6 linked regions of the Xenopus tropicalis genome follow. The protein of the gene in region 6 purifies or fractionates together with the protein of the main gene of each other region. This does not show direct contact. Links are inferred from orthologs where the notes say so. Each region holds a gene or a part of one and is shown on either strand. Other genes may lie near its edges. The genes, in order: eif3b, npm1, eif4e, eif4g3, ibtk and eif4a1.

Evidence for each region.
Region 1: the proteins of eif4a1 (region 6) and eif3b purify together in Homo sapiens (affinity purification with mass spectrometry; 4 studies listed by BioGRID and IntAct, counting the BioPlex papers as one, with this or other methods). This does not show direct contact. The link is inferred for Xenopus tropicalis from reciprocal best matches to the Homo sapiens genes EIF4A1 and EIF3B.
Region 2: the proteins of eif4a1 (region 6) and npm1 purify together in Homo sapiens (affinity purification with mass spectrometry; 3 studies listed by BioGRID and IntAct, with this or other methods). This does not show direct contact. The link is inferred for Xenopus tropicalis from reciprocal best matches to the Homo sapiens genes EIF4A1 and NPM1.
Region 3: the proteins of eif4a1 (region 6) and eif4e purify together in Homo sapiens (affinity purification with mass spectrometry; 8 studies listed by BioGRID and IntAct, counting the BioPlex papers as one, with this or other methods). This does not show direct contact. The link is inferred for Xenopus tropicalis from reciprocal best matches to the Homo sapiens genes EIF4A1 and EIF4E.
Region 4: the proteins of eif4a1 (region 6) and eif4g3 purify together in Homo sapiens (co-immunoprecipitation; 6 studies listed by BioGRID and IntAct, counting the BioPlex papers as one, with this or other methods). This does not show direct contact. The link is inferred for Xenopus tropicalis from reciprocal best matches to the Homo sapiens genes EIF4A1 and EIF4G3.
Region 5: the proteins of eif4a1 (region 6) and ibtk purify together in Homo sapiens (co-immunoprecipitation; 4 studies listed by BioGRID and IntAct, counting the BioPlex papers as one, with this or other methods). This does not show direct contact. The link is inferred for Xenopus tropicalis from reciprocal best matches to the Homo sapiens genes EIF4A1 and IBTK.

Annotation. Positions count from the first base shown.
Region 1 is NC_030685.2:31,106,362-31,110,336, forward strand, and holds the start of eif3b (eukaryotic translation initiation factor 3 subunit B), read left to right. Parts: upstream 1-1,175; 5' UTR 1,176-1,299; coding exon 1,300-1,390; intron 1,391-3,975.
Region 2 is NC_030679.2:20,070,074-20,073,573, reverse strand, and holds part of npm1 (nucleophosmin), read right to left. Parts: intron 2,716-3,500; coding exon 2,672-2,715; intron 1,923-2,671; coding exon 1,844-1,922; intron 1,399-1,843; coding exon 1,309-1,398; intron 648-1,308; coding exon 537-647; intron 275-536; coding exon 200-274; intron 1-199. UniProt on the Homo sapiens protein: Involved in diverse cellular processes such as ribosome biogenesis, centrosome duplication, protein chaperoning, histone assembly, cell proliferation, and regulation of tumor suppressors p53/TP53 and ARF.
Region 3 is NC_030677.2:74,891,105-74,895,241, reverse strand, and holds the start of eif4e (eukaryotic translation initiation factor 4E), read right to left. Parts: upstream 2,801-4,137; 5' UTR 2,795-2,800; coding exon 2,777-2,794; intron 1-2,776. UniProt on the Homo sapiens protein: Acts in the cytoplasm to initiate and regulate protein synthesis and is required in the nucleus for export of a subset of mRNAs from the nucleus to the cytoplasm which promotes processes such as RNA capping, processing and splicing.
Region 4 is NC_030683.2:132,837,518-132,841,017, forward strand, and holds part of eif4g3 (eukaryotic translation initiation factor 4 gamma 3), read left to right. Parts: intron 1-230; coding exon 231-335; intron 336-431; coding exon 432-564; intron 565-664; coding exon 665-762; intron 763-1,070; coding exon 1,071-1,164; intron 1,165-1,263; coding exon 1,264-1,387; intron 1,388-2,040; coding exon 2,041-2,261; intron 2,262-2,380; coding exon 2,381-2,487; intron 2,488-2,639; coding exon 2,640-2,812; intron 2,813-2,971; coding exon 2,972-3,097; intron 3,098-3,324; coding exon 3,325-3,406; intron 3,407-3,500. UniProt on the Homo sapiens protein: Component of the protein complex eIF4F, which is involved in the recognition of the mRNA cap, ATP-dependent unwinding of 5'-terminal secondary structure and recruitment of mRNA to the ribosome. Functional homolog of EIF4G1.
Region 5 is NC_030681.2:88,869,423-88,872,922, reverse strand, and holds part of ibtk (inhibitor of Bruton tyrosine kinase), read right to left. Parts: intron 2,760-3,500; coding exon 2,642-2,759; intron 1,393-2,641; coding exon 1,332-1,392; intron 700-1,331; coding exon 572-699; intron 245-571; coding exon 132-244; intron 1-131. UniProt on the Homo sapiens protein: Acts as an inhibitor of BTK tyrosine kinase activity, thereby playing a role in B-cell development. Down-regulates BTK kinase activity, leading to interference with BTK-mediated calcium mobilization and NF-kappa-B-driven transcription.
Region 6 is NC_030679.2:152,592,812-152,596,779, forward strand, and holds the start of eif4a1 (eukaryotic initiation factor 4A-I), read right to left. Parts: upstream 2,801-3,968; 5' UTR 2,796-2,800; coding exon 2,773-2,795; intron 1-2,772. UniProt on the Homo sapiens protein: ATP-dependent RNA helicase which is a subunit of the eIF4F complex involved in cap recognition and is required for mRNA binding to ribosome.

The sequences.
Region 1 (3,975 bases), on a different chromosome or scaffold from region 6:
ACTGGAGCCCAAAACTGCACTGCATACTCAAGGTGAGGCCTTACCAGAGACCTATAAAGGGGCAAAATTATGTTTTCATCACTTGAGTCAATGCCATTTTTTATACAAGGCAGCACTTTATTTGCTTTAGTAGCCACAGAATGACACTGCCTGGCATTACACAACTTATTATCTATAAAAAAAACCCAGATCCTTCTCCATTAAGGATACCCCCAACAAACTACCATTTAGTAGATTGCTTGTGTTTATATTATTTTTACCAAAATGCATAACTTTGCACTTGCCCACATTGAACCTCATTTTCCAGTTAGCTATTTAGTTTTCCAGTTTTGTCAAATCGCTCTGCAAAGTGGCTGCATCCTACACGGAACTTATAGTTTTGCACAATTTAGCGTTCTAGGCCAATATTCCTCAATGTTATCATTAACCTTCTGTGAGGTACTGTATCATACGCTTTTTCAAAGTCCAAGTACATGACATCAAAAATACCAGCAGACAAAATATCCATCTCCAGGCACCGTTTGTAATGTTATTTTATTTAAAGAATCCTATAGTTGGTATACAAGGGCAGATTGTCTGCTGCTGTTTTCCACCACAAACCTTTACTAAAAAAATTAATTTACATTACAACCCATGCAGGTCTTTAACTGAAAAGATAATATAACTGCAAACCATCCTCTGTATATTTGTAAAGTATAAAACGCTGGCATATTACAGCAATTGTATGCCAAGTTAAACGTGAACAAATGCACTTGAATCAAATCCTAGTTACCGCCCAAAGTTAAAAAAAAAGTACTAAAGCTGTGCATTGATACAACTAGCTTGGCCCCTGCATTAGCATTCCGGAAGTTGTAGTTAGTCGTACCCAGCCAGTACTAGCCATTTAGCTACATTGAGCGCAGTCACTTCCTCCATGTTGGACTAAACCATTTGTAATTGAAAAAGGGGAGGCGCTCACTTTGGCTTAAATCATTTAAGCCTCATATTTCTTTTAACAGCAAGAACACAAAATACAGAGATAATTCCTTTGTGGTTAATATATCGCGCGTTGGGTTTGACATCACGCAAGTTGAATTGAGTGATCTCGCCACCCCTGTCTCCTGCCTTGGTTAGCTCCTTTTCCGCCGGTGCCCGGTACAGCGCACATGGCCTGTTAGTAGCGCCAAGCCTTGCGTTCTCTTTATTCTCGGGGAGAAACGAATTCCAACCACGGAGAGACGCAAGAATCCAACGTAGGTAGAACAGAGACAAACAGGAAAGTGCCGAGGAATGCTGGAGAGCGAACGACCCGAGAGAGACATGGAGGAGGAAGAGTCCACCGAGGAGGAGGAGGAAGAAGGGATGTCCTTTAGCGATCCGGAGGGATTCGAGGACGATATCAGTGAAGAGGGTGAGTGAGGGCTTTCTAGAATGTTGGCTCTGGACAATATTGGGTACTTAGGCCTGCATGTTGCGTTCTTTTTAGGGCAGTGCTTCTGCTTATGCAGTACCCATAAGGCCTGTGTGTGAAAAGATGGGGGCCCCTGGCAGTGCAGAAAGAATGTGGCCTCTTATCAGAGGGATGGAATTGGATTCATTATAGATGTTATTGTTGCTGTACTCCCAGCTGGTAATTTCCCTGCTTGGTGCTAAAAACCTTTCAGCCTTCAGTTACAGCTGGAAGCCTGCAGGTTGGGCGGACATCCCTGATGTGCATCCTGAGAACGGCTAACAGCTGCCGCATCGCACAATATGTCCTTTGTACCTGGGATTGGTGTGGGGAGTTGTAGTTTGATAGCAGCCAGCTATGCTGCACTGTCACACCCTTTCATGGTTATTTTTGTGCCCTAACACAACACCCCAGTTATCAAGCAATTTTGAAATAAACAAAGCTTGAGCAGATGGGGCCCCACTGGCTGCCGAGCAGCATTTTTATTTTAACTCGTAGCAAAAACAAGCCCTCTGTTTTTTTCAGGCTTGGTATTTAGATTTTTTTGTTGTTGATATGAGGTATTTATCCTAAAGGTGCCCATACACGTTAAGATCCGCTCGCCAAGCAAGTGGATCTTCTCCCGATATCCCCCACCTATGGGTGGGGGATATCGGGAAAATGTAGGCTAATTTGATTGATTAAATTCTAACGGCAGCAATGGCACAGCCAGTTCGGGGATCGTCCCTGATCTGACTAAATCTTTTAACCTGCCCGATCGATATCTGGGCAATTTCAGGCCAGATATTGGTTGGGCAGGCCTGTCGTTTCTGCCCCTACACGGCCCGATAAGCTGCCGAATCAGTCCAAAGGACCGATATCTGCAGCTACAACCAGCCCGTGTATGGCCACCTTAACAAACAGTCAACAGTTAGGAAGTCTCAATGACCGTGAGGATATAGAAAATCAGGATCTTAAAATAAAGATAAGCAAACCAAGTTCTAACAGCCACCAAATGTAATCCTCAAAGTCAGTGTCTTTGGGTGAAGACGCACAGAGCTACGAGTAGCAGCTACATCAAAGCCAGTGATGGAGAAAACTGCTTTAATAGCAATTATGTACAATTTTAAAATGTAAATAAAATATTTAATTGAGCATTCTTTAGAATTGCCTTCATAATGCACAAAAGCCTATTTTGGAGGGGATGACAAACGCTGCTTTTAATAGCAGTAATATCTATAAACAACTTTAAAACAATTACACATTTGTAATTAATGTAAATTGCAAAGTTTGCTTAGAATTGTTTTCTTTTATTAGGCAAAACGTTTTTTGGGGTTGACATGTCAAAAAACGTGCTCAGGTCATATTGGCATCACTTTTTCTCTTTTCTGTACAGCATTGCAGCATACACTGGTGCATTATAACTAAAGTTGGTACTAGATACCCCTCTTAATTAAAGGAACAGTAACACCAAAAAATTAAAGTGTATAAAAGTAACTAAAATATAATGTGCTGCTGCCCTGCACTGGTAAAAGTTGTGTGTTTACTTCAGAAAGTCTACTATAATTTATATAAATAAGCTGCTATGTAGCCATGGAGGCAGCCATTCAAAGGAGAAAAGGCACAGGCACTTAGCAGATAACAGATAAAACACCATTGTATTCTACAGAACTTATTTGTTATCTGCTATGTAACCTGTGCCTTTTCTCCTTTTTTCCAGCTTGAATGGCTGCCCCCCTGGCTACACAGCAGCTTATTAAATCAATTATAGTAGTGTTACTGTAACAAACACACCAGTTTTACTATTGCAGGGCAACAGTGCATTATATTTTATTACTTTAAAGCTCTTTCATTTTTTGGTGTTACTGTTCCTTTAAGAAGGGAGGAAGAAAGTGAACAGTAGTTCTTATCTTTCTGTAACAGCATGTATGTCAATGTTGTCAGTTAGGCAAGTTTATCTCCTTGTTGTACAATGTCCCAATGCTTTTCTGCTTCATGAATGAAGAGCAATAATAATGTATGTTAGTCCAATATGTAATTTTGTAAGGGTGTGTCGTCTGTTTCTGAGCAGTGTATCACTTGATTTATAGCTGGGAGTTACCTGGTTGCTAGAGTAGGTGTGCTTAGTTACCTCTTATGGACAAAGACTGCATGCTGTAATTAGGTGCCCAAACCTTAGGCTAATGTCAGACCAGGTATGGCGTATATATTTTCGGCAAGTTGAAAAACGCTTGCCAAAAATATATACGCCATACGCCTGGTTTGACAATGGCCTTACACTCAGGGCATTCCACAACTTCGCTGCCCTTACCATGAAGAACCACCTACCCGGTATTGAACGTTTTTATGGGAAAGAATGCCATAATGCCTTCTAATATACTTATAAAGAGTAATCCAATCCCAGCCTTGATAGTCTGCTCTAATAATTATATAATGTGTCAGTATGACTTGCTTTATCAAGTTTAAAAAGGTTACTTTATGTCTGAAAAATGCTCAGAAAAGCCAAATTAACTTTTTAAATTGTTTAATCGGGCACTGTATAAGATTTGTTCATTCCTTTTGAAGCA
Region 2 (3,500 bases), about 130 Mb from region 6:
CAGCCTGAACACTGCATCTTAACTCAGATTACTGAATATACATTTCAGACTAGAGCTCAGTTTAACAATTACAGCATTCAATCAATTCATAAATTCTGCCTGTGTAAGGCTGCATTAGTGATGCAATTCATGCTGAAGGGTCTTTAGCATTTACCATAAACCATACAAATTCTTAAGCACCGAAAGCCTTAAAATTTACCTTCTGATTTTCTGTCCTAAAGCAATTCTTCACATAGTTTGCAAACTTTACTTCCACTTTAGGAAGAACAGTGCCCTGAGGAAACAAAAGTGAGAATGCACATTTTAACATCTTAAAATGTCTAAAATAGCCAGAACACTACTATTTCCTTTGCAGGTCTCTAACCCATTACCAGTTAGTAACCATTGACTTGATGTAGTGTTCTGAATTAATGTTAGGCATGTTTACACTGAACCGTTTAAGCTTTTTGGCCGATGTGAAAAAACAAAGTAAATTTCTTATCCTCAGGATAGCTTGATATTGGCTCAGATTAAAATTATATTCATACTTAGATTACCTTTTCTAATGAAGTTTGCATCTTTGCTTTTATTTCATCAAAAGACAAAGGCGTTTTTGGTGTCTTTGGTGTTTGAGGCTTTGTATCCTGCTTTCCTTTCTGCTCTGGAGTCTAAGGAGAAAAAAAAAAAAACTTTTAACAGAAAATCAGAATATTTACATTTAAAGGGGAACTCCACCCAATCTTCAAAACTTTAAGCAACTTTAAAAATCATGAAATGGCTGCATATTTAATTTTGTAATGTAATATGGTTTGGCACATTTACCAGAGTTTCAAAGGCCTTCCCCAAGCTCAATGTTTAGTTCTAGGGGCATTTCCTGGGGGGAACTTTTGAATACATATCTTAGGACAACTGCTTTAAAAATAAATAAAATAAAATTTGGCTGAACACGATATAGAACTCTGTACACTTGGCTGTTTATGTAGTGGGCACACAAGTTACCTGGGTACAAACAGGAAGACAGAAGGCCCTGGATCTAAAATCTGATATTGGAGGGGATCAGAGATGGTACAGGACAGACAACAGTAGATACTGCTGTTTCCTGGTGGGTTGCACACCAGGGGCCCTACCTCTGCTAGTTATCAAGTAGAAGCAGCTTCAACATTGCTTAAAGTGCATAATCAAGATCTGTGGGTACTTTTAAAATGACCTTGTGTAAGTAAAACTTAAACTTGTAACTTTGTTTCAACCCAAACCCTGATTGCAAGCTTCTCAGGGATTCCAGTCTAAATTAGATTTACCAGCTCCCCAGTTTAGGCACCCCCCACTTACTTTTGGAGTCTTTAGTGGTGTGGGTAATTCAGAAGCCTTCCCATTGTGATTTAACTTTTGAGCTGCCTTTGGTTTTGTAGGCAAGTCAGTCTATAAAGGAAATGCAAATTTAAAAATACCTAAGACACAAGAACTGGATACTTATTCATGCTGAAGCTGTCTGATACCTGTACAAAACCTGCCTTTTGCTCAAACTAAACAAATTAGATAAGTTTACAGAATCAATGACCCCACCCCACAAGAATCAAAACTAAAAAACAACAAACATGTTCTGACAAACTATTAGAAAACAGTGGAAACCATAACAAAATGTCTAGATGGTGAACTACCCATTTTACAGTTGTAAACTAGTCAGCACAACAAATATGAAATGGTTTGGGGGGGGGGGGGGGGAGAGTCACACAGAGGTACTACCCTGTGATTGGTGGATTTTTGCATGTCAGATGTCACAGCCGGTTGCAGTTAGTATATTTGTATGTAACTGCATTGTAACAGTTAACAAAAGTGAAAAAAAATACAAATGTCACCAAGTTACCTTTTTAACAGGTGTTTCATCCTCTTCATCCTCATCTTCGTCGTCCTCCTCCTCATCATCGTCATCATCATCATCATCCCTAAATAAAAAGGTAAAGCAGGTGAATTACTGTATGGTTATTATGGGTACACTTGACAAAATCTGGGAAGCCTTGCTGCAACAGGAGCTTGGTGCATGTCTGCCTTTCTCCCCCCAGGCTCACCCTCTCTCCTCTTCTATCTTACCTCTTGTTGTAATAAATGTTTATTTGAAAATCTTATAAGAACTTTAAATCTCATTTCATTATTCAGAGAATCGCTTACTTTATACCCCAGGTTGGTGCTCCTGTTAGGAGAAATCACCAGCCCAGAGTAGCTGCAAATGAGCAATCCTTTTCAATCTCTTGCCTGTCCTGGGGAATCCTGAGGCTGGCACATGTGCAGTAGAGTAAAAAAGCAGTTTTGTTATAAAGTTCGGCTTTTCACTTTACTGTGCAAGCGGCGTGAAGACAGAAGGTAAAGGATCATGGCTTTGCAGCTACCCCGGGTCGGTGCGGTTTTCTCCTAACAAGAGTACCAGCCCTGGGTTTCAGGTTAGCAATTACAATCACTGGGGTTTTTTGTTTTTTTTTAAAAAAACATTCAAACCTCTCAGTGGGGTGATTGTCACACAGAGCAATCTGTTTAGTTAGCTTTGGGGACATTGCTTTGCCAGGAGAGCTGTTCTGCAACAGCTAAAATATTACACAAACTAAGGGAAAGAACGATAGCAACCAACAGTGGAAAAGGACAGTGCCTGAAGAAGTGCAATTCCTCTCAAAGCATAAAGAAAAGCACACTATATACATACTCGTCTGAATCAGCCTCGTCCTCTTCCTCCAGACGTGTTTTTTTCTGCAAATACATACAAGAATTTAGACATCACAGACAACAAAAAAACCCACCACACAAGAAAAAACTGCACTCCTACTAAAATACATTTGATTAAACTTTATTAAGTTGAGTGGCTACTGCCTGACACTTTTCAGGAAAGACCCTTAAACCATAGGTCTATCCCATGATTATTTTTCCCGAAACACACCAGGCCGTTTGCTTCGCAGGAGCCACTCATGCTAACTTAAAGGAACAGTAACACCAAAATCTGACAGTGTATAAATGTAATTACAATATAATATACTGTTGCCCTGCATTGGTACAACTGGTGTGTTTGCCTTAGAAGGACAACTATAGTTTATATAAACAAAGCTGCTGTGTAGCTATGGGGGCAGCCATTCAAATGAGAAAAGGCACAGGTAAGTTAGCAGATAACAGATAAAACCCCATTATATTCTACAGAGCTTATCTGTTATCTGCTATGTAACCTGTGCCTTTTCTCCCTTTTTCCAGCTTTAATGGCTGCCCCCATGGCTACACAGCAGCTTAATTTATATAAACCTATAGTAGAGTCTCTGTAGCCAACACTAATTTTACCAGTGCAGGGCAACACCACATTATATTCTAATTACTTTAAAACACTTTCATTTTTAGTGTTACTGTTCCTTTAATAAAGGATCATTTTTTTTAGCAGAAGCAATGCGTTTTCTTCTTTTCTTAGTACAAGTTAGTCAGCATTTAAGCACTGCACTGAATTGGTCAGCTCCCATCTCCAGTTCCCCCCCCTCAAAGGCACTAAAAGAGGG
Region 3 (4,137 bases), on a different chromosome or scaffold from region 6:
TAACTAACAATAGGAAAAAGTATGTTTAGCACATGCCCTATTCACAGAGTTTATGTTAAAAAGTAGTGTATATTGTCCCCTTAATAAGTGACTAGTCTAGGTGAAATTTAGCTTAAATGCTCCTGGAGAGAAACAAAAAGGGATCTTGATATACTAATGTCAAATAAACATTTGCTCTATCCAACAATCTAGGAAACCTGCGAGATCGATCTGCCAAGACAAGACAAATCATCACACTTAAAGCGCATTTTCGTGGAAGATGCATTGGTCCACATATACCTTGAGACTGTAATGGAGACATTATGAGAACACAGATTACTTTTTGAATGCTGCATTCCAGCCAGTGATCAAAATGCCCTTGTCTTCCAGCAGCCATTCAAATTCATTTAAATGGGAAACTTGATAAGACTATGGTGCAGCCAGGGACAGCTTACACTCACTCATGTTATTAAGTGATCCCCGTGTGAATGTGTTAGCTTATTTCCCAAATCTGGTCCTTGGGAGGTCCAAGAGGACTGAAATGCTCCATGTAACAGAATCAATACATTTGGGGGTAAAAAGTGTGTGAAAGGTTTTAGAAATAAACTAGCAAAATCACAAAGCAACAAGTGCTAAATAGTAGATTAAAGAATAGCTACTACATTTTTTCAGAATGTTATTTCCTTCATACTAAAGCCGGGCCAATAAGACTGCTCAAAAAAAAACAAAAAAAGAAAGCCTGTGGGTTGCAAAATCTGCTTGTTCTAGTGACCCCCCCCCCCCCTACCAATGAATGGATCTTTATGGATATAGCCATTCAAAACTGAAATACACCTGTTACAAAAAATGACAGACACCTAAGTATACAATAGACTGAATGGCCGCGAATGAGCACTTCTCAGCCAGTGGAGAACTGGAGGTCACTAGGATCGGCGCGACCCTTCAAAAATTTTCAACTGCTCCAGAACTCAGACTTTTTTGTATGACATCAGTCTTAAAATATTCATGCAGTATAGCATATGGCTGACCCACAACACTGAATACACACTGCTTTATTAAAAAAAAAAACTTTAAGCAACTTCAGCCTGTACGGATATTACAACCCAAAGCATTCCCACCACCACAGACTGCCTTGAGGAAAAAAAAACGCACCACAATATCATACGCACATAAATATTTCTACACATATATAAATATCTAGTTTTATAGCTGCAAGGAGAATTACTAGCACTTGCTGATGTCTGTAGCCAGTGTCTCTAACTATGCAACTGTTGTGGTACAGGTATGGGATCCCTTATCCGGAAACCCATTATCCAAATTACGGAAAGGCCGTCTCCCACAGACTCCATTTTAAGCAAATATTTCTTATTTTTAAAAAATGATTTTCTTTTTCTCTGTAACTATAAAACAGGACCTTTTACTTGATTCTAACCAAGATATAATTAATCCTTATTGAAGGCAAAACAGTCCTATTTGGGCTTATTCAATATTTAAATGATTTTTAGCAGACTTAAGTTATGAAGATCCAAATTACAGAAAGATCCCTTATCCGGAAACCCCCAGGTCATGAGCATTCTGGATAACAGGTCCCATACCTGTACTTGATTCTAACCAAGATATAATTAATCCTTACTGGAGGTAAAACAATCCTTTTGGGTTTATTCAATATTTAAATTATTCTTAGCAGACTTAAGTTATGGAGTTTCAAATTACGGAAAGCTCTCTTATCCGGAAACCCCAAGGTCCCCAGGCATTGGATTACAGGTCCCATACCGGTACCAATTTCTGTGCCCATTCTTCTAGTTCTAATTAAAAGCAATACTGTGCAGCCAGGGAGCCACCTAGTCATGTCACAATCCCTCAGTCACGCCAATTAAATGCAATGCCATTCTCTGTAGTGTTTCACAGCCATGACATGTGCATTCTTTGGCCATGCATCAGGTTTCTACTTATTACAACAAACGTGATTTTTACTGGGACGACACCATGTGATTAGACAAAATGACTAACTTCTTTCAATTTCAGGGACTGCAAAAGAGCTGAAAGATAAGTCACTAGATTCCCCTTGTGGGCTTTCTGCGTGTGATTATTGGCGACAAGGCCGGCCAGCTGCCCATGTGAGGGAAAGGAGACTTACAAGGAAGTGAATGTACAGACATATGCCTGCGCCTTTTCAATGAGTAAGGCAACGTGCAGTAGAAGCTGGAGGAGGAGGGGACACCCCTGCCATATTAACTTGTGCAACACGATGGGGGGCGGGGAGTTTATGAGAGAAGCAATACGGTATCGATGCAATAGTGACAGGTTAGCCGCAGTAACCAAACCCAACATGGACACGGCGCACTCGGACTGGAATGCCGGGACGCGCCCGTAAATGGCCGGTGCAGCCAAAAAGTCTCGCCTCCCTGTGTGTGCCCGCCACGCGGCCAGCCGGCTCCTCGTCACATGCTGACGCGCACACACATGTACAATAATGGAGGGGGCGGGAGCGCGCACGGGTGTCCCACACACACACACACGGTGTAAGTAGCAGCCATTCCCCTAGCAATGCGACCGGGACATAGGGTGGGGCAAAGATCGCGGCATCCCCTACGATGCCTGTAGCTGCAGTAAAAGCAGCCGCCGCCGCCTAGAACAGCAGAAACATGTTACTTTGGACTCCTCCCTCGGCTTTCTGAGCGCCTAGCGGAGACCTGGCCGCCCCCTTGCTTTAATAAGTGTCAGTCGCTCCGCCAAAGCAACATCTAAAACCATGTGCTTGTGGGTTTGCCTGTACACGAGTCACGCATCTACTCACCGGCTCCACAGACGCCATTTTAGATGGTTGTGACTGCACAGCCGCCGCTGGCAGGAAAGAAGAGGAGGTTAAAAAAAAACTACTTTCAAACCCGGTTGGTTTGGGGCGTGCCACGTGACGTCCGCCGACAGCTGAGTCTGCGTAGCCCCGCCCAGCAACCTGTAAAGAGGGAGAGGCCGCGCAAGGGGTGCTGGGAGTTGTAGTGTAAATGGTCGCTTGGGAACTACTACTATTACGATTTGGTTCTGTGTCACTTGCAAGGCATTGGTAGGCGGGCATCTGATCTTTCATTAACGTTGAAGGACACAAAGGAAGTGTATGTAAAGGTGCAACATATGCAGGGCAGCTGGTAACTTATGCCTAAAGTGGCCTTGGCTTCTGATGTGAATCACACCCAGTACTTTCAATACCGAGCACTTGGCTAAAGTTTAGTTCTTTCCTCAAACGATTAAGTAAACATCTTTTGCTAGCATTTCCTTTTGTAAAAATGTTCTGTTTTATTTTTAAAATCGCTTTCTGATTTGTATTTTCCACTTTTGTAGCTATATAATAAGATATAAACTTTATAATTCACCATGAGCAGTTAAATAATTATTTTGCCCTCACCAAGCTTTTATATCTCATCAGAGAGGTTTAGCCACAGAGCAGATCCAAGACTAATGGAAGCCCCTGTTTATACAGGGTGGGAACCAGGGGAACTCTGAATGATAAGCAGTTTCAGTATTGCTGTGGCATACAGAAAACTTATGTTACACTACTGTGCATCTATTTGACATTGTGGCCGCAGCCTTGAAGAACTGAATTATTAAAATTATTTACTTCTCACCCATAAATACACGTATTTCCCGAAACAAAATGACACCAGAAAATTGCATTATACAATTTAGGGTTACACCTAAAATTTAATTTCAAAGGTTTACAGAAGCTATCATACATCAGTAAGACTACTTTTGATGAATAACAACTATTATAACAGATGTCCAAAGCACCATATAGAATTATGGGTAGGGCTGGGCGATATACCGTTTAATACCGAATACCGGTGTTTTTTTTAAAAACTATATTAATTTTTCAGATACCGCAATACCGGGGTGTCAGGGTACTCACCCGTGCGGCCTGGTCTCGCACGCCTCCTTGCGTGTGCATCCTATTGTCCGCGGGACGTTGCACACGCGCGTCCAGGTGCGCGTGCGTCAAAGCGCACGTACATGTCAAAGCGTGCACGTCCGTGACGCGCTGATGGCGCCGGTTCTGCGTATGCGTGGGGGGTATTTAAAGCTATCAAACTCCTCCTCCTGTGCTATGTTGTCTGCGGCCTTGCCTGGGAAACTAAGCCTGCCTGATTTACCTTTACGACTTTC
Region 4 (3,500 bases), on a different chromosome or scaffold from region 6:
AGAGCTCTGATTCTCTGTACTTCCTGCTCCTGGGCTGCTCTCTTTCCCATGGTCAGACAGGCCCCCCCCCCTGGGTAAGTGAATCCAATCTCCCCCCAGTACTTACCCAGGTACAGAGCTCTGATTCTCTGTACTTCCTGCTCCTGGGCTGCTCTCTTTCCCATGGTCAGACAGGAATATAACATGACATTGTGTTTCTCAGTTAATGGCTAATACCCACTCTGTTACAGCCACGTATGGATCAGTACTTTAACCAGATGGAGAAGATCGTTAAGGAGAGAAAAACCTCGTCTAGAATCCGCTTTATGCTGCAGGATGTCATAGACCTCCGGCTGGTGGGTGGAGCCATAATAATAATATAGTGCTCCCTGTCCCCCCCCCCCAGTTTATGTCTTTTGTGCAATGAGATAAGAATGTCGCCCTTTCGGCAGAGTAACTGGGTGTCCCGCCGGGCAGACCAGGGGCCCAAGACCATCGAGCAGATCCATAAAGAGGCCAAGATAGAGGAACAGGAGGAGCAGAGGAAAGTGCAGCAGTTAATGACCAAAGAGAAGAGGAGACCAGGTAAGGAGAGGCACCGCGGCCCCAACGTCCCCCTGCGGGGGGGCCTTATCCCTTTCAGGCAGCAGGGGGCGCTGTGCTTACAGCCTGTGCTTGTCCCCAGCAGGGGTGCAGAGAGTGGATGAAGGCGGATGGAACACTGTGCAGGGGGCAAAGAATAACAGGGTGCTGGACCCTTCCAAGTTTCTGAAAATCACTAAGGTAAGGAGGCTGCCCCCTCCCGTGGCACTGAGCTCAGCCCATGCCTTGTTGCTTTGGTTAGGGGGTTCCTCCGATAAATCTGTGCCAGCCTTGCCCGCAGTTACTGGATTAATTACCCCCCTCCTCTGTGGTATCTGTAGAGTGCTAGCTTCTCGTTCTCCTGTATGTGCCCTTCTGAGTGACGCCCTGGCATCTCTCCCCTGGCATCTCTCCTGGCACAGCCTTACAGGTCTCTGCGTGTATTACAGGGCATTCAGGGTGTGCCCAGGGGATTTTGTATTTACCCCCCCTCTCTTTTTTGCCCTCAGCCCACTATAGATGAGAAGATCCAGTTGGTTCCCAAAGCTCAGCCTGGCAGCTGGTTAAAGGGGAGCAGCGGAGGTGCCAAGGCTAGTGAGACTGGTAAGAGCTCAGGCTTCCCTCTCTGGGCTGGGGTAGTTAGTAGCCACAAACCCCACGTGCCCCCCCAGCTAATGCATTGCTCATTGTCTGTTCTGTTAGAATCTCTGAGACCGGGAGCCCCCAGCCTGAACAGGTTCTCTGCTCTGCAGCAGCCGCTCTCCTCTGTGTCTTCCTCCTCCTCATCGTCCCCCTCTGAGCTGGACTCTCGCAGGTTACTAACCAGGTAATGTGGCCCTCACATTGCTCTGTGGCCCCTCGCATTGGTCGGTGTCCCATTTTGTATCCTCCCCCACTGCTGCTAGACCTTGGGCATTGTGTTCCTAATTAAAGGGGAAGTAGAACCCACACCTATAAAGCTGCTGAATAAACATGAAACCCAAATTCTTTTTTTTTTTTTTTTTTTTTTCAATGAAAACCCCCAAACCTGTTATAAAGAGATTTAGTCATCTCAGTTGTCAATCAAATATAGCCTGCCCCGCCTCCGTGCCTCAGGCACCTCCTTCTCTTCCCATTTTACACTTACTGCAGGGAACTGCCCCCTCCTCTGCCTATAGTTGGGCACTAGGCCAAAGCCTTAGGAACAGCGCCACAAACTGGCACCTACCTGCCCGCTGTGACTCCCAGGACCCTCTACGAATTCTTTCAATAAATCTGAGGTGCGCAGCATCTGGCGCAGGGAGGTATCACAGGCCTGGTCTCAGCATTGGCTCCTCCCTCCCTATTGTTGGGAGGGGCTTGCCCCAATGGTTCTGGTGGGTAACCAGCTTCCTTCTTTGTGGGCACTTGGAAACCAGGAAGCATTTGCTGATGATCATGGGAGTTGTAGTGATGACCTGATACTAGAACATGTGACCTGACCGTTGTTTTGGGGTTTAGCAGCCGTGGAAGCACGGGGCGAGAGAAGAACGACAAACCCTCTGCGCCCTCCTCCATCCCGTCTGCGCCCCGACCCGGCACCCTCCTGCGCGGCAGCAGCAAAGACTCGGCCGACAATCAGGAAGAGCTGCGCCGGGAGACGCTCCAGACGGTCAAACAGCTGACGAACGTCGCCGAACCCGACAAGAACACTGTGCCAGAGAGACGGCCCAAAGAGCCAGGTGAGACCCTGCGGTTCTGCAGATAAGCTCCGCCCCAAGCCAGGACCCTTGTCTGTGTGAATCATTAGGGGGCGTGGCTATTTCCACCATTTTACTCACACAGATTTATCATTTCCCAGCCAAGTCCGAGCCGTCGGAACCAGACAAACCCACCCTGTCAGAGGAGGAGATGGAGAGGAAATCCAAGGCCATCATTGATGAGTTTCTCCATATTAATGACTACAAGGTACTGTGTGTGTGTGGGAGGGCGGCCCGGTGGGTTGCAATAAGGGCACGAGAAGCCTGGGTGGGTCCAATGGGTGCATATGGCTTTCCCAGACTCCTCCCCTTCCCGATCATTGGTCGCTAGAACCTTCTCCCTGTGTCTCCGCCCATCAGGAGGCCATGCAGTGCGTCGAGGAGCTCGGTGCCAATGGGCCGCTCTCAGTCTTCGTACGACAGGGGGTGGAGTCAACGCTGGAACGGAGTCAGATCACCAGGGATCACATGGGTCAGCTCCTCTACCAGCTGGTCCAGTCTGGCAAACTCAGCAAACTGGACTTCTTCACTGGGTGAGTTTTAATCGCTGGTTTTGTTCTGTTGGGGCTGCGTTAGTACGACTTTAATGTTGCTATGGAAGCGTGGGCACTAGCTGTATCCTGGCCATGACCATAGGGGGGCGGTCTTTTGCTTATGGGTTTGGGTCACAACGTTCTGTGCCAACGCCGCAGGTTCTCGGAAACGCTGGAGCTGGCCGACGACATGGCGATCGACATCCCGCACATCTGGCTGTACCTGGCGGAACTGGTAACCCCCATGTTGAAAGAAGGCGGGATCTCTCTACGAGAGCTGATAACGTGAGTGGGGGGGAATGAAGTTTGTATAGGAGGCGGGACTTAGGGCGATAAGGCAATTACAGCCATGAACCCTGGGCTTTCTTATCATCTGTCAGGAATCTCATACCAAGGGCCACGCAGTCTCCTCTATCCGTTAGGGCCCCATCTGGATTATTTAGTCCCCAAATTCCCCCAGCGTGGCACCATGGCAATGTGGCTCCTCCCATTAACTGCTTTTTCCTACACAGAGAGTTCGGCAAAGCTCTGCTCCCTGTGGGACGCGGAGGGGAATTATTGTCGGAAATATTGCACCTTCTATGCAAACAAATGGTACGTACCGGCTTTCCCAGCGATAGATGGGGGGGGGGGGGCGTTAGGTCTTTCTGTCCCAGTGAGTGGGCCGAGTACCTATTTGGGGTGCTCC
Region 5 (3,500 bases), on a different chromosome or scaffold from region 6:
CCCATACAGATCTCTCAGTGAAGCCTGATCACACAGCAAGTATACTTTGCTTCAATATGGCTCTTGCATTTATCCTTTCATCAGTATGAAAAAAAAAAATAACTCAAATACTCAACAAAACACACAAATACCTGTCGAAGGTGAACTGTGAATGATGTCAGAAAGATTGTATCCTCCAGAGCTATCCAAACGTTTTCTTGGCTTCTTTTTGGCTTTTGCCTTAGATTTTTTAAATGCAGCTTCCCTATAAAAGACATTTATTTAGCATTTGCTTGGTAACTACAGTTAAGTTCACCTTAAATACTGCTGATTTCACTGTAGACTCATTTATCAACACAATTCAATGTTCCGAAGCATATTGCCAAGCTGTTTACCCACAGTGCAGATTTTTCTCCCAGAATTCCAGCATAAATGGACAACAACAAGGCTCATTTACAACTGTGGTACAATATGCCAAGAGCAAAATTGACATTTTTTTCAGTTATGTAGATTTTGCTTCCCCCCCCGGATTACAAATTTCAAGCATTAGAATGTTTCCCCTCAAGCTACAATAATTAAATTGTATTCTTACTGAGTGTTTTGGTAAGAATAAATATCATCCTGAACAGAGACAAGGCTTTTAATATCTTCAGACTGTAAGATACTAACATCTGGCCCATCCAGATATGGTGTGATTATTCTCTTGTTCATGGGTGGAATCTGTATAAACACACACAAAAACAATAAAAAGAGGGACTATTGATTAAATCCTGGTGTGTCTGAACAGAACCCCCAAAAAAGATATATACATACAGAATCTACTTCAATTACACTTTAGCACTAAAATATGAGTACAGGTATGGGATTCCTTATCCGAAAACACAATATTCAGAAAGTTCCGAATTACGAAAAGGCCATCTCCCACAGACTCCATTATAACCAAATAATTCTAATTTTTAAAAATAATTTCCTTTTTCTCTGTAATAATAAAACAGTACCTTGTACTTGATCCCAACTAAGATATAATTAATCCTTATTTGAGGCAAAACAAGCCTACTCGGTTTATTCAATATTGAAATGATTTTTAGTAGACTTAAGTTATAAAGATCCAAATTACGGAAAGATCCCTTAACTGGAAAAACTCCAGGTCCTGAGCATTCTGGATAACAGGTCCAATACCTGCATAGGATAATGAATCAAGTTGTAGACACTATAGATAGTATCACTGTGTGTGAACATGCCCAAAAAGTGGTCTGGTGTTGCCAGATACCTACAACTTATACATTAAGTAATAGGTAACCTATATATTAAAATTACTATATAAAAAAAAAAGCTCAACAGAAAAGAAATACCATTTTTCTATATGCTTCTGAGAGATCTTTCAACACATCATCACTCAAAACATCCAAAGACCTGAGGAGGAAAAGAAAATAAAGGTGCAATAAACATAAAATTGCCAGTAAGGTTTTAGCTTTGAAGGTCTGATTTATGTCTTCACTTTAAAGGAAGCCACTAAAAATGTGTTAGATGATACTTGTGTAGCCATGCAAGAATATAATTTAAGTTGCTTTGTTTCATTAAAACTTCTACTGTTTGTAAGCCACTAGGAAGTATTGTGTGATAGCAAAATGCAGTAAGCCACCCTTACTTTCCTTTCACTTCATAATGTGGAATTTGTTTATATTTCTTTTTTTCTACAGCTAATGTAAAAAATGGGAAAATGTATTTTTCTCTACTGAATGACAGCTAGTGGTATTAATGCATCAGGTTATGTGGAAACAAAGGCAAAAGGTAGTCCAGATCCACGACCCCATAACTACTAATATTAATCCTTAAAGCAATAAAGTATTGAATGCATTTAGATTTCACTTGATGTGATGAGTTGCTAAACATAAACAAACATTTGCCAGTTTTACTGTGTAACACCCCATGAATACTATCTACCACAGTTTGTGCTTATGATTTTTATTAATTAAACCTTTAAAGGGGACTGTGGCTTTGTCAGAGTGTAGGCATATGTATTTCAATGCATTCTGCCCATGTATAGGTATTTAAAAATCAAATGATTTTATAGAATCTGATAAGTATCTTCATTATCTGTTTAAACAGAGCAGAATGATATTCATACACTAAAGTTTTGCTTTATTAAGCAGAAGAACTAGCACTTAGGAAGCCCCAGTCCATCTATTATTTGGGGTGTGAAATACACAGAAATGTACTGCACTGTACAGGTATAGGACCTGTTATCCAGAATGCTCAGGACCAAGGGTATTCCGGATAAGGGGTCTTTCTGTAATTTTTTCTCCGTACCTTAAGTCTACTGAAAAATCAATACGATATTAAACCCAATGGGAATGTTTTGCATCCAATACGGATTAATTATATCTTAATTGGGATCAAATACAAGGTATTGTTTAATTATTGCAGAAAAAAGGAAATCAATTTTAAAAATCTGAATTATTTGATTAAAATAGAGTCTATGGGAGAAAGGCTTTCCGTAATTTGGAGCTTTCTGGATAACGGATCCTATACATGTACAAGAAAAGACACACAGGAATCTATAAAGCTAGAATGAAACATTCCAATTACATTAATGATATGAACTGGAAAAGGAAAGCATGTGGAACTACTGAAATAAAATACATAAATATGTTGCCCGTACCTTGCTTCTAGTAAAGCTCCCATGTTTAGCACTATAAACTGCAAGCAAGAAAGCTTCAGCTGGTCAGCATTGTACAAGGCTGCAATTTCCAGGAGTTCGGCTGCATTCTTCAGTGTAACTGGAAGTTAAACATTCATATAAATATAAATGCAACCTTATGACAAGACATTTTTGTAACTTCCAGATGGAAAATGTTTTTAGCTCCCTGCTTATTCCTCTCCCACTTATTCAGCTTACACAGACATGGAGAATCATGTAATACTCTAGGCATAACATTTGTAGAAACTGTCCCTTAACCTGGTCCACTGACTTAACAGATGTTCCATAAATCGCTCACCAGCACTAGTATTTCCCTGCACTAAGTAGGGTTTAGAGTGGCCTATAAACAAACTTGTTCTTGATCCAACTTTCCAGTGCAATAAATAAAGAATGTATAGATTAAAAATTATAAACATTCCAAAGTTACAAACTTGCTTAATATTATGAAGTAAGATGAAGCCCAGTACCATGTTCTCTGGAACTTAAATCAGTCTTTTTGGATTCCATAATTGCAAGCTGTTTGCACACATAGCCAAGAAATTAGAGGGAACACTGACCATGGAAAATACCCAAGATGAAGTTTGAGACTGCTTTAGTGCAAGGGCCCATGGGGCGTATTGTCAGCCTGTACCCAGAATCAATGAATGCGCCTGGGTGCAGGCACACAGAGTTGATATGCACCAACAATCTCCAAGTATCACGTTTTTTGTGGATATAGCAGTTTTCCAGAATACTTTAAAAGGACAAGAAAAGGCTAAGTCACTTGGGGGTGCCAAAATGTTAGGCACCCCCAAGTGACTTTAATCGCTTACCTTTTACC
Region 6 (3,968 bases):
CATACCAGGGACTGAGTAAGGCTTGTACCCCCCCCCCCATACCAGGGCCAGGGACTGAGTAAGGCTTGTACCCCCCCCATACCAGGGCCAGAGTAAGGCTTGTACCCCCCCATACCAGGGCCAGGGACTGAGTAAGGCTTGTACCCCCCCCCATACCAGGGCCAGAGTAAGGCTTGTACCCCCCCCCCCCCATACCAGGGCCAGGGACTGAGTAAGGCTTGTACCCCCCCCCCCATACCAGGGCCAGGGACTGAGTAAGGCTTGTACCCCCCCCCCCCATACCAGGGCCAGGGACTGAGTAAGGCTTGTACCCCCCCCATACCAGGGCCAGGGACTGAGTAAGGCTTGTACCCCCCCCCCCCATACCAGGGCCAGGGACTGAGTAAGGCTTGTCCCCCCCCCCCCCCATACCAGGGCCAGGGACTGAGTAAGGCTTGTACCCCCCCCATACCAGGGCCAGGGACTGAGTAAGGCTTGTACCCCCCCATACCAGGGCCAGGGACTGAGTAAGGCTTGTCCCCCCCCCCCATACCAGGGCCAGGGACTGAGTAAGGCTTGTACCCCCCCCATACCAGGGCCAGGGACTGAGTAAGGCTTGTACCCCCCCCCCCCCATACCAGGGCCTGAGTAAGGCTTGTACCCCCCCCATACCAGGGCCAGGGACTGAGTAAGGCTTGTACCCCCCCCCCATACCAGGGCCAGGGACTGAGTAAGGCTTGTACCCCCCCCCCCCATACCAGGGCCAGGGACTGAGTAAGGCTTGTACCCCCCCATACCAGGGCCAGGGACTGAGTAAGGCTTGTACCCCCCCCCCATACCAGGGACTGAGTAAGGCTTGTACCCCCCCCCCCCATACCAGCGCCAGGGACAGAGTAAGGCTTGTACCCCCCCCCCATACCAGCGCCAGGGACAGAGTAAGGCTTGTACCCCCCCCCCATACCAGGGACTGAGTAAGGCTTGTACCCCCCCCCCATACCAGGGCCAGGGACTGAGTAAGGCTTGTACCCCCCCCCCCATACCAGGGCCAGGGACTGAGTAAGGCTTGTACCCCCCCCCCCATACCAGGGCCAGGGACTGAGTAAGGCTTGTACCCCCCCCCCCCCCCATACCAGGGCCAGGGACTGAGTAAGGCTTGTACCCCCCCCCCCCATACTAGGGCCATATACAACAGGAGGCAGGGTAAGTACATACCAAGGGGACATAAAAGGGCAGGGGCAAATGAGTGTTTATGCCCCCATTTTAAGGGGGCTGGGGTGAGATTATACCCCATACTGAGGGGCATACAGTAGGGCTGGGGGTGAGGGATTATACCCCATACTAAGAGGCAGGGGGAACTTACCCCCCACACTAAGGGGCATACAGGGGGAACTTACCCCCCACACTAAGGGGCATACAGGGGGAACTTACCCCCCACACTAAGGGGCATACAGGGGGAACTTACCCCCCACACTAAGGGGCATACAGGGGGAACTTACCCCCCACACTAAGGGGCATACAGGGGGAATTTACCCCCCACACTAAGGGGCATACAGGGGGAATTTACCCCCCACACTAAGGGGCATACAGGGGGAATTTACCCCCCACACTAAGGGGCATACAGGGGGAATTTACCCCCCACACTAAGGGGCATACAGGGGGAATTTACCCCCCACACTAAGGGGCATACAGGGGGAATTTACCCCCCACACTAAGGGGCATACAGGGGGAATTTACCCCCCACACTAAGGGGCATACAGGGGGAATTTACCCCCCACACTAAGGGGCATACAGGGGGAATTTACCCCCCACACTAAGGGGCATACAGGGGGAATTTACCCCCCACACTAAGGGGCATACAGGGGGGTTAATGCCCCATACCATAAGGCAGGGAGGGGTTAATGCCCCATACCATAAGGCAGGGAGGGGTTAATGCCCCATACCATAAGGCAGGGAGGGGTTAATGCCCCATACCATAAGGCAGGGAGGGGTTAATGCCCCATACCATAAGGCAGGGAGGGGTTAATGCCCCATACCATAAGGCAGGGAGGGGTTAATGCCCCATACCATAAGGCAGGGAAGGGTTAATGCCCCATACCATAAGGCAGGGAAGGGTTAATACCCCATACCATAAGGCAGGGAGGGGTTAATGCCCCATACCATAAGGCAGGGAGGGGTTAATGCCCCATACCATAAGGCAGGGAAGGGTTAATGCCCCATACCATAAGGCAGGGAAGGGTTAATGCCCCATACCATAAGGCAGGGAAGGGTTAATGCCCCACAGAGTCACATGACAGCCCGTACCCCCTGTGAGTGTTGGGGGGCCCCGGGGGGGCAGCAGAGAGAATTACCCCTACCCCGTGACCCCCATCCCCCAGCCACGTGCAGAGCCGGAAACAGCCGCCATTTTAGCAGTAACTCCGCCCCCCGCCGCCATCTTGTCCTCTCCCCCCCCCCACTCCCTCACACACAGGGGCCGCCGGGCCGCCATGACACCTCCCACGTGGGTGGGGGGAACGGAAAGTGCTGAGGGGCCGCCAGGGGCCCGGGTAGAGCCGAGACTGGGCCTCCGGTACAGCGGGAAACGGCTCCGGGCGCGGCTGGGGAAGGCCTCGGCACACAGGGAGGGGTTGGGGCTAGGGCGGCAGTTGGATTACCGATAACGGCCACTGGCAGGGCGGGGGGATAAACAGGGAACAGCGCGGCCCTCACTCTCCCTGCCTGGTTACCCGTATCGCTCCCCGTATCGCTCCCCGTATCGCTCCCCAGGCCTCCAGGCCGCTCCCTCTCACTCACCGACTCTCGTAGCTCGCAGACATTCTTCTGAGCGGAAGCTTCTAACAAACCGGTGACCGTCCCTTATATAGCCTCCTGCCGGCTCCACCCCTCAGGCTACTGATTGGTTAGCGCCAAGGCGGCTCAGGGGACGTTTCTTTAGCAGGTAGGACGGCTCAAGAAAGCCTCGAAGCCGATTGGCTGCCACTGCTTATATTTAATAAGGGGTCGGCGCTTACCGCCCTGTCTGACCGGCTCAGATCCCGATTGGCTCTAGGGGAAGACAAGCTCCTCCCCACCACGGCAGCAATCTCGCCCATTGTCATGCAGACTTCCCTAACGGCGATTACTATTGGCCCGCTGTCCTCACGTGACGCACAGTCCCGCCAACCTCTGCTGGCGCTCATTAGGCGGCAGCCCTGTCATTAAATTACTTCTCTCCGTCAGTTGGCTAGCTGCCGTCTGCGTCACTTCCGCTCCAATGTGACAGAATTCCTTAGCATTTTTTTTTACATTTATTGTGTAAGAAACCCATTCACCGAGCGCCATTTCCTAATAGTAATTCTGTTTGTGGCCCCCATTTTGATTCTTTATTGGACTCAATGTTTCCGGTGCCCCTCAGGCAGCAAAAGCCGGAAGTGTAACGAAGAAACCCCCCCCCCCCCCCCCCCCCCATTCCAGTCACCCCGCACCCATAGCTCCCGTGTGGCCCCCACTCTGCCTCCTCAGCCCCCCATTGCACCCCATTCCCACACAGGAACCAACACACACACATTACTATACAACTTTTTTATTCAGCTGCTTTTTTTCCATTTTATTTTTTGACAAAAAAAAAAAAAAAACTACAAATTTGTCCCAGAAAACATTTAAATAAGAAATGAACTGTGTAAAAAAAAAAAGTAGGCAAAGAATAAAGTGTTTGGGGGGGGGGGGGGATATCGTGGAAAGGGGGGGGCACAGGACGAGGAAAGACCACCAGCGAAACGGGCGGAGGGGCGGGGACTCCCGCTGGATGTCATTTCTCCACAGAATCCTTCACTGTACAGGTGGGCGAGGCTCCCGCGGGGGTAACAGGTAGTAGGGTCCCTCGGGAAGGGGACACAGACGACGCTCTGCGCAGCCCCCCCCCGGAGAGGCCGCTGCAAGTAAAAAGGCTCCGCAGAGTCCCCTGCAATAATGGCTCCTGGGGGGGCGTCACACCGCCAGCTTGCAGTGGC